Macaca fascicularis: one gene and its partner. The protein of the gene in region 2 interacts with the protein of the main gene of each other region in a pairwise test. Links are inferred from orthologs where the notes say so. Each region holds a gene or a part of one and is shown on either strand. Other genes may lie near its edges.

Region 1 (4,762 bases), on a different chromosome or scaffold from region 2:
AGCAAGTAAGGGCCAGGGCCAGAGTCAGCTTCAAGGGAACAACAGCCCCTTGCCCTAAGGCCCCTAACTCTCTAGCTGTTTCCTGACCCCAGGCCAGGGTTGGGAGTCCTCTGGGCATCCATTTTTTCTCAAGGAACTGGACGGAGTATACACAGGAAAGAAAGCTGTCACCCTCTTGCCATCTGGCTCCAGGGGCCTCCAGTCCAGCATTCCTCCTTCTTCCCTTGATTGGGTGGGGCCGCATGATGGGCAGCCAGGCTCTGGGCTGTCCCACTAGAGCAGGCTGCAAACACAGCCATGTTTCAGCGAGGCACTAATCTTCTTCCCTGGTGTCCCAGCCCACCAGTGCCACATTACAGCCCAGAGTGAGTTCTACAAGCGTTGCTGGCCTAATGGATGGGTTGGGGGAAGGGGGTGGGACAGGGGCTGGAGGAAGGGCTCTCAGGTTCATCACGGCACAGGAACAACACGCATGGTGTTGGTGAAGCCGGAGCCAGGGCGCCATCCGGTCAGCACAATGACCACATCTCCCTTCTTGAAGAAGCCTCGGGCCTTGCCTGGGGGAAGAGAAGGGAGATTGGTAAGTAAAAGCCAAGCCAGGCAGGTGTGCACCTGGGCAGCTGCCCCATAGCCTGAGCACTGAACTAGGCTGGCTGACCACTACACTACTTCCTCACACCACAAGGTGGCACCAAACTTACAGCCCAGGCAAACAGGAGGGAGGCCCTGAAATGTCCTTATCACTCAGATGGCAGGGTTGGCAGGGTTGGCAGGGACCTTTGGACATCTTTCACTTCATCCTCCAGAGGGTGCAAAGCTTTGCCCAGGGTCAAGAGCTAGCTGCTTCCTGTCATCCGGTGATACCCTACCTTATACAGGGACAATGGCCACATCAGTACATAATCTGTGTATGCCACCCCACAGCACAGGAGCTGTAGCCAATTTTATTTAAAAAACAAAAACAAAAACAAAACCCTCAGTAATGAGCAGATGCCAAAGAATGGACAATTTTGCTTTGAGTCCCAGACTAGAAGAGAAGAGGAAAGGAACTGCTCAACCCTACAACTCAAAGGACCCTTTTCTCTCCTGGGCTCAGCTTAGGACTTCCAGGAATGACAGATTCAGAAAGAACATTCCCAATGAGGGAGAGAACAGTCAGCTGGGCCTTTTGCCCCTCTATGTTTCCCTTTCTATTCCCCAAACTTTCAGGGTCCCACAGAAGCCAATGCTCAAGCATCCCCAAACCCCTCTAGGCTCTAGCCCCTGCTCCAGCCACGTACCAACATTCATGGCAAAGTTCACCCGGAGATCCACGTCCTCAGCCCAGGCCTCCTGGACTGGGTCCTTGCACAGCACAGGGAAGATGCCACGGTACAGGTGGGCCTGACGAGCTGTCTGGGGATTCCGGGTCACAGCAATGATGGGGGCACGTGGGCGGTATCTGGCCACCTGATGAGCAGACCTGAGATGGGATGGGGGACATACAGAAGAGACCATTACACAAGGCCCCAGGAAGTACCTCAGGGTATTCAAACAGCTCATCCTCTCACCCAGCTCACTGATGGCTCTGGCCTCTTCAACATCTGCTCCCTAGGACCCCTCCCAAGGCTAGGGCAGCCCCTCATCCTATATCCTCCATAGCAGGCTAGGCTACCATCTGCCCTCTACCCCCACTCCACAGGCCAAGGGCCCAGGATTATCCTGACCCAGGATTATCTTGACCCAAGGTCAGCCTCACCCACTTATCTCACACAGCCCATGGTTGGCAGAACCCCTCCTACACTCTGACACAGACAGGCAGCCCTGGCCCAGTGTCACCAGCACCCATTCCTCTCGCTGCCGGTGACACCTACAAGCCAAGTAGCATGTAGAGCAGTAGCAGAGCTGACCAGCCCCATGGGAATCAACATCAGGCTTCTCTACTTTTGTGCCCTCTTCCCTGTCCCACATGGCCCCTGGCTCCTGAAACAGTCCAGCAACTGAGCTATAAAGGCCCAGAGTCAAATCTGAGTATCTAGGTGAGGCTTAGAAATCTAAGTGCTACTCAGCAGGCAAGAACAGGAAATGGGAGTGTTGGTGCAGGAGCAGCTCTGCCTGCCAAAGCTCCTTTGGAAGGCAGGGGACCCTTCTGAAGCCCCTGTGCCAGGCGCTTTCTTGAACACTGACACTGCACACTTGTAGGTGCAGCTGTGTCTCAGGAGCTGGGGAGGGGCACCAGAAGGGAAGTTATGAGGACACTCAACAGGTGTCAGGGAAACTTAAGCCATATCATAGCAGAGAAGTCCCTGCACTTCACGCTTGGCCTATATGCAAGGCCATCAGAGGGAAGCAACTGCTGAAGCTAGGACCAGCTGAGTGAAACCCCAGAAGACTAGAGCTTAAAATAGCCAAACAGCAAGAACTGGACCTTTTAAGAAAGGTCAACCCTACTGGTTGAAGCTGTTCAGCCAAGAGTGGGAGGCTGCAGCCCTCTGCTGAGGGCATCTGCACAGAGCTTGTGTCCTGGTTCTCTGGGCTGCCCATGCCCACCTGCTACTCCTCAGTGCATGGGCACTGCCTGTTTGCTCTTCTCCAGGAAACCCTCGCTGCCCTGTGGGCAGGGACAAGGAGCATAATCCCTAACTAGGAGAGTGAAGGACATTAACTCAATGTCCTGGGCTAAGGAAGGGATCCCAAGTTGGAGGCTCAGCATAGGCCACACAGTCCTCAGCCTGGCTGCCTGGCCCCACAGAATGTCAGCCAAGATAGCACAGCAACCTCTCCTGAGCTGGAAACCAATTTGTCTTTAGGGCTCGAAAACAGCAGGGACTAGTGCGCCAAATGGAGGCACAGTAAACAGCATTTAAATAAATTCATTTTCCCAACTGAAATTTTTAAAGAGCACATAGTAACTGGAATAAGCAAAAGTGGTTATCTTTTACTATTTTAGAGGACTAAATTTTTTTTTTTTTTTTTTTGAGACGGAATCTCACTCTGTCGCCCAGGCTGGAGTGCAGTGGTGCGATCTCGGCTCACTGCAAGCTCCACCTCCTGGGTTCACGCCATTCTCCTACCTCAGCCTCCAGAGTAGCTGGGACTACAGGCGCCCGCCGCCACGCCCAGCTAATTTTTTGTATTGTTAGTAGAGACGGGGTTTCACCGTGTTAGCCAGGATGGTCTCAATCTCCTGACCTCGTGATCCGCCCACCTCGGCCTCCCAAAATGCTGGGATTACAGGCACAAGTCACCGCGCCCGGCCTACAGGAGTGAGCCACAGCGCCTGGCTACTAAATTTTCAATATCAAATAACCATTTGTAGTCAGCCTGTGCACTATTATGTAATAAATCTCCAGCATAAACTTGCTTTTGATCCAAATGTTCTGACATTCCTTATGTGTGCTGCCTAGAGTCCTCTGGGCCCAGGGAAGGGGCTCTGCTCAATCCTTCTCTGCAGGCCCAAGGTGGCAGGCAGAGGGGTCTTACCTTGGCTCAGTGCCACCTGAGCATTGTTCAATGCACTGCTCCCAGGACCCCCAAGGAGAGGTGCCACTGAGCGGGGCATCCCAGGGAGCCGCTGCCACCTCCTACCTGCCAGACTTGGTGAGGACGATTATGGCCCCACTGCAGCACTTGAAGGAGGCCTCCACGGCACCCACGGCGGTGGCTTCTGTGGGGTCGCTGGTAATGGGCGCCAGGCGGCGGAGTTCCTCAAATAATTGCAAGTGGTAGATGGCGGCCTCTGCCTCACGGGCAATCTAGGGGAGCAACATCCGTCCAGAGGGACGAGAGGGGGACAGAGCTTTGTCAGAGCTTTGTCACAGAAGGAGAGGGAGGGGAAGAGTCACCCGGACAGCTGGTGAGGAACATGTTCCTAGGGACAAAGGCCAAGAGTAGCCCAGTCACTGGAGATGCTGAGCTGAGCCAATTTCAAGACTCCACAGAAACCAGTCCTTCACCAAGTGCCTGTGACATCTGCTGTGCCTACTGAGCCACAGGACCCTTTGGTCCTGCCCTGCCATGACCTCCCTGGCGGTATTCCTATAGACAAGAAGAGGCTCTGTGCCCAGGTGCCAGGTTGGGCCTGGCTGTCTTCTCCTGGAACAGCTGAAGCAAGAGGCTGGTTATCCTAGCAGTGTTACCTGCCCTTAGGGCCCTACCTGCCAGACTCCGTCAGAACTATCAAAGCTGCTGCTAAACACTTATAAGAAGCCTCCACGCTGCCCATGGCCATGGCTTCCATGAGGTCTGTGGAGTGACTTGAGGCTCGCACAAGTTCTTCAAACAGCTTGCGGTGGAACATGGCTGCCTCAGCCTCACGAGCTATCTGTAAGGTTTAGGGGAAGAGGGGAAAAGGAAGAGGGAAGGAGGAGGAAAAAAACAAGACACAACACATGGGAAGACAGAATGGGGAATTAATCAGAGAGGAAGGTAACCTTAGGTTAATTGGCTAAATCTGTCCTTCAGGCAGATGCGGAGGTAGGGTGATGAAAGTCCAACTGCTTCAGGAGGTGCTGCCACTTCCCCTCCAACACAGGGGAAATTGGCTCTTCCGTTCTGGAAGGATTTGATTGGGGATGGAGGGAGACAATCTGGCAGTAGGCTCTAGCACTCTGGCATGAAAACATGCCCAGGCTGGGCCCACACCACTCCCTGGCAGAGGACTTGATCACGCTGCCTCACGACATAGCTTACAGAAAGGAACAGGCCCTCCCTCCTCACATGGCTGTCTGGTTAGGCAGACTCCTGCCCAGCCTCCATGCATGCACGCAGTGAGCGCTCACTT
Region 2 (5,504 bases):
CTTAGACTGAGGCCCATGCATGGCATGACACCACGGTTCCACACAAAAGAGCAAGAGCCATAAAAACAGATACTTTCTAAATTGCTTTAGTCAATCTTACTTTGAGAAGAGGATTTTTTGGCTGAAGCACATGAACAGAAATGCCAAAATCCAAACTTTTGAGTTTGTTTGTTGTGAGCAGTGTTTGTTACTCAAAATTAGTGAATACCTCCTTTCTCAACAGCAAAATACATACAAATATGACAAATATGCATTTTATTTAAAATAACTATAAATAAACCTAATGCAGTTGATTTCAGAGAATGCTAAGAACCTTTAAAAGTTATTATTCTAGCCAGGGGCAGTGGCTCACACCTGTAACCCCAGCACTTTGGGAGGCCGAGGTGGATGGATTCCGAGGTCAGGAGTTCAAGACCAGCCTGGCCAACATGGTGAAACCCCATCTCTACTAAAAATACAAAAATCAGCTGGACATGGTGGTGGGCACCTGTAATCCCAGCGACTCTGGAGGCTGAGGCAGGAGAATCGTTTGAACCTGGGAGGTGGAGGTTGCAGTGAGCCAAGATCATACCACCGCACTCCAGCCTGGGTGACAATGTGAGACTACATCTCAAAAAAAATAAAGAAAAAAAATTATTACCGTAAACTACTTTTATTTTTACAGCATTTTAAATCTATCTTACAATATGCATAGATTATATCTGGCAGGATACAGGAGGAACTGTAATAGTGCTTGTTCTTGGGGACAAAGTTAGGTACTCAGATGAAAGGGGTGGAAGGAAGATATTTTAAGTATTGCTCTTTTGTAATTACGGAATTTGTGTCATGTTAATGTATTACTTATGCAAAAATAATAATTTCTTTTTTTTTTTTTTTTTTTGAGACAAGAGTCTCGCTCTGGCACCCAGGCTGGAGTGCAGTGGCGCAGTCTCAGCTCACTGCAGCCTCTGCCTCCCGGGTTCCAGCGATTTTCCTGCCTCAGCCTCCCAGGTAGCTGGCATTACAGGCACGTGCCACCATGACCAACTAATTTTTGTACTTTTAGTAGAGATGGGGTTTCACCATGTTAGCCAGACTGGTCTCGAACTCCTGACCTCAGGTGATTCATCCGCCTAAGCCTCCCAAAGTGCTCGGATTAAAGGCATGAGCCACCTTGCCAGGCCTGATTAAATTTTTAAAATAAGGTAATCATATATTACCTTAAAATAAAGTAATGAAACAAAATCTATCTCCTCTGTAAAGGCAGCAAAGGAAATTTCTTGATACCCATATTTTGAAGATAAGCAAACGCAGGTTCTATCAAATCAGCACAGGAAAGAGACGGCATATTTTCAGAATGATCAAGTGTCTGAAGCAGCCCAGCAGAAAGGTCTTCCTTCCCATCAGGAGCCCAGTTTAGTGTTTACACAAGATACATGCAATGTGTGAACTTCTATGACACCTACCTCCTAGAAAGGCACTACAGTAAATTTCTGGAAGGATGAGAAATTACTTACTGAAGAGATAAGCCAAATTGTTTAAAAATTTCTCTAAATATCCAAAAAGTTTTTCCATCCTTTAGAAGAATTTATTCCTAAATTTTACTCTAACAAATAAGCTAACACTGCTCTCCAAATCCTCCTCTTCTAATTAAACTTTCAAGACAAGGCAAGGATCATAACAGAAACAAAGAACAAGAAATATTACTAAAAATTAATCAGTCTTAATAGAGATATTCTTATCAAATGCCATCTGATACACGTCCAGATCGGAAATAGAACACTGAGAGGTAAGAGAAAGGCCTGAACTGCAGCGGAGTACTTCCTAAATCCTGCTAAACACTCAGCACACACTCCCACGTCCTGGGGTTCCGCTAGATGTTTTAATGGTCTCTTTTTCTGTTTCAAAAATTCTCCCCAAGAACAAGCAACAGAGACCTCTAGCTTCCAAAAAGTAACAAGCTGTCAGCAATGAGGCGAACAGAAACCCTTTCACTGGCACATGAGATGTCCACGGAGTCTGCAGACCTCCCATATTCTGGCAAGCCTGACTGCAATACTGGTAAAATGTATACCTCATTCATCCCTCGGCAATTAACCTCCCCCTCAGCAACGTGTTAGTTTTATTCCCAACACAAACAGGCAATAAACTTCAATCAACTCTTCCTAATATTTAAGATAATTTTATTAATACCACGTAAGTTCACCACTTATTTGGCAACCACAACTCATTCAAATGCCTGCACACTAACTTGCGCTTAGATGAGCAGGTCTCTTAGGTGGTGCTTAAAATCGTGTTACTACCACCGCGATCATGAACTAAATGAAATGCCCTGAGAATGTAGGAAGAGCCTCAAATCTCAGGCTGTTTTAAGTGCCACTTGGAAAATAAATCTCCCATTGGACGCGCCCTCACTCCCCGCCCCCCACCCCAGCCACTCCCGCCGAGGCGTCCTAAAAGCATTATGTCATCCACTGCCCCCACATCTCTCTAGCTCCAAACCCCGCCTCCTCTCGAGGTGTCCCGCGCCCCCAGCCCTCTTCCCTCTCTGACTAGATGAGGGAAGTGGCCCTGAGCAAATCTCGGCTCTTCCAAGTTCTCTTCAGAACACAGTTAAACCCCCGCCCTAGTTTCTCGCAAATAAAAAGAAACAAGTTTTCGCCCCAACTCTTCGCACCCTGGAAAGGGCGAGAGGGCTGAGGCCGTGACTCCCCTCCGTGAATTCAGGACAGGTCCCAACGAGGTTCTGCCTCCCCTCGCGGGAGGACAAGACCCAAGTGCGGGACCGGGGCTGAAGTGGGGGAAGGTCTCGCCGCAGGAGGGGGCGGGTGTCCCTCATTGGCTCTGGGTTGCTGGGTCACTCTGTCGCTGCGGGGCCGGGGGGGTTCGTGTCGCCGGCCCGCAGGGTGCAGGATTCCGCCATCCCCGCCGTAGGCTGGGACCCGCCGGGACAGGGAGCTGCAGCGGGCCCAAACTCACGGTCGGTGCAGCGGCTCCTCAGCCACAGCCGGGCCGGGTGGTGGCGGGGGCGGCGGCGGGGGCGGCTGCGGCTGAGGCAGCATCGGCTGTGCCTGCGGCGGCTGAGGAAGCTGAGGAGGAGGCGGCGGCGGCGGCGGCGGCGGCTGCGGCTGTGGCTGTTGCTGCTGCTGCTGCTGCTGCTGCTGGAAGGACTTGAGAGACTCGAAGGCCTTCATCAGCTTTTCCAGGGTCGCCATGGCGGTCTCCCGCCCGGCTGGGCAGTCCCCGGAGGCCTCGGGCCGACTCGCAGCGCCGCTCAGCACCGGGGCAATGAATGGGGCTCTGGGCCGCGGGTAAAAGCGGAACCGAAGCGGCCGTCCATCTTGGACCCGTCCCGGCAGCCCCCGCGGCGCCTTGCGTCTCAAGACGCTGCGCCGGCGGAGGCGGGGCCACGCCGGCCAGGATGATTGACAGCCCTAGCCTGCGGACTCTGCCAATGACTGGCCAGGGAGCCAGCCAGTCCCTGCGCCCGCATGTTCTGCCTCACAGAGCCACCAAAGCCTCTGACAGCGCAGCGCCCCACCTGGGCGAAGGAGCAGGGCTCAACGGACAGGGGACGGGGCGTGGCAAGACTGTAATGGGGTGGGGCGAAGCTGTGAAGGGGCAGGGCGAGGCGGGACGCGGAAGGAACGGGGCGGGACTACATGGTAACGAGGGGCGTGGCGAGGCTGGGGCGGGGCACAGCAGGCAGGGCGCCTGAGGGGCGGGGCGGGGCGAGGCTGGGGCGGAGCGGGGCGAGGCTGGGGGCGGGGACATTAGGCAGGGCGCCTGAGGGGCGGGACGGCTGAGGGGCGGAGCGAGGCGAGACGATGAGAGGCGGGGCGGATAGGGGAGGGGGCTGACCGTGAGGGGCGTGGCTGGGGGTGGGGCGGGAAGATGAGAGGTGGGGCGCGGAGGGCGGGGCCAGGGAGGGGTGGGGTGCAGAGGGGGCGGGGTGAGGGAGGGGCGGGGCCAGGGCGGGGCGGGGCCAGGGCGCGGCGCGCGGGGCGCCGGCCCAAGCGGAATGGAACCCTCGCAGACGTCTGGAGCTGGGCGAGAGCCGGCCGTGGGCTCTGAGCCGAGGTGGCCTCGGGGCTTGCCCGCCCGCCACACTGGCCCGCGGCCAGAGCCAGGCTCACCTGGACAGCCCTGCGGGGAGCCTGCTGGGGACTCGCTGCACGGGGAGAGGGTGGGCGAGCCCCTGCGCAGAGCGCAGAGATTGCGCGTGGTCGGCGCGATCTGAAGACCCCAAGTGTGACCCTCCCCACCCTCCAGTGAGCTGGAGCGGCCCCTGCAGGGCGGTGCCCACAGGCCTGGCGCCCCCCATCGGTCCCAGCGCAGCGCCCCGGAAGGGAGGAGAGGGTCTGAGGCAGGCCCGGATGGTCAGCGCCTGCTGCCCACAGAGGTACTGTGATTAGTGCAGCGAGAAGCAGCGGTGGCCACAAGACGCCTCCCACAGGAATGAGTCCCGACCTGGGGGCGTTTCTGTATGGGAAAGCACCCTGCTCTGACCTGGCAGGACCCCCAAGGGGTGCCATTCAGCCTCAGCTCAGCAGAGATCTGTGGGGCACCCCCTCACGCCTGGGGCACAGGCCGGCGCAGGCAGGGTCCTGGTCTCCAGAGCCTCCCGCCTTTTGGGTGGTAGAGGGGCAAACAGAGAGGGCAGCTGTCCAGCCTGCCCATTAGGGAGTAGGGTTGGCCTCAGAGACAACCACCCAGCCCGGGGGTGGTGCAGGCAGAGAGAAGCCCACTAAAGCCTACTCAAGCCAGGCCACACCTGCAACCCAGAGTCCCCTGCTCTGTGGCCACAAGCAGCACCTCCACCTTGTCTCAGAGCCTGTCCCAAAGGGAAACCCAGCATTGTCTCCCTCCCTTGTCTTGAGAAGGACAGCAGAGAAACAGCCGTTAGTTCCCAGTTCTTGGGAGGCTGATGTAGGAGGATCACCTGAAGCCAGGAATTTGTGGCTGCAAGTGAGCTATGGTTGCACCACTGCACTCCAGCTTGGGCGATAGAGCAACACGATCTTTAAAAAAATTAAGTTCCAGCTGGGTGCGGTGGCTCACGCCTGTAATCCCAGCACTTTGGGAGGCCAAGGCAGGCAGATCACCAGAGGTAAGGAGTTCGAGACCAGCCTGGCCAAACATGGCGAAACCTTGTCTCTGCTAAAAATACAAAAATTAGCCCGGCGTAGTGGTGCGTGCCTGTAGTCCCAGCTACTCTGGAGGCTGAGGCAGGAGAATTGCTTGAACCCGGGAGATGGAGGTTGCAGTGAGCCGAGATCATGCCATTGCACTCCAGCCTGGGCGACAAGAGTGAGACTCTGTCTCAAAAATAAATTAAATAAATAAATAAATAAAGTTCTCAGTTCTCTGCTGTTAATAAGGGCCTTTGTCCACTGTACCGGGCCTCAAGGCTGTTAGTTACCTCAGTGGGCAGACTCGTAAGATGGCCCAAGCACCCCTCGCCTCATGGTATTGACACCCTTGTATGACCCCTCCCCGTGAGTGCGGGCTGTACCTGGTGGCCT

What was found. The genes of interacting proteins can lie anywhere in the genome.
Region 1: the proteins of HTT (region 2) and PKM interact in binary tests that used the Homo sapiens proteins (3 or more experiments, as listed by UniProt). The link is inferred for Macaca fascicularis from reciprocal best matches to the Homo sapiens genes HTT and PKM.

What each region holds. Positions count from the first base shown.
Region 1 is NC_088381.1:49,032,434-49,037,195, forward strand, and holds part of PKM (pyruvate kinase PKM), read right to left. Parts: intron 4,304-4,762; coding exon 4,137-4,303; exon of another isoform or gene 3,735-4,136; coding exon of another isoform or gene 3,568-3,734; intron 1,463-3,567; coding exon 1,281-1,462; intron 558-1,280; coding exon 451-557; 3' UTR 1-450. UniProt on the Homo sapiens protein: Catalyzes the final rate-limiting step of glycolysis by mediating the transfer of a phosphoryl group from phosphoenolpyruvate (PEP) to ADP, generating ATP.
Region 2 is NC_088379.1:3,291,590-3,297,093, reverse strand, and holds the start of HTT (huntingtin), read right to left. Parts: upstream 3,334-5,504; 5' UTR 3,195-3,333; coding exon 2,959-3,194; intron 1-2,958.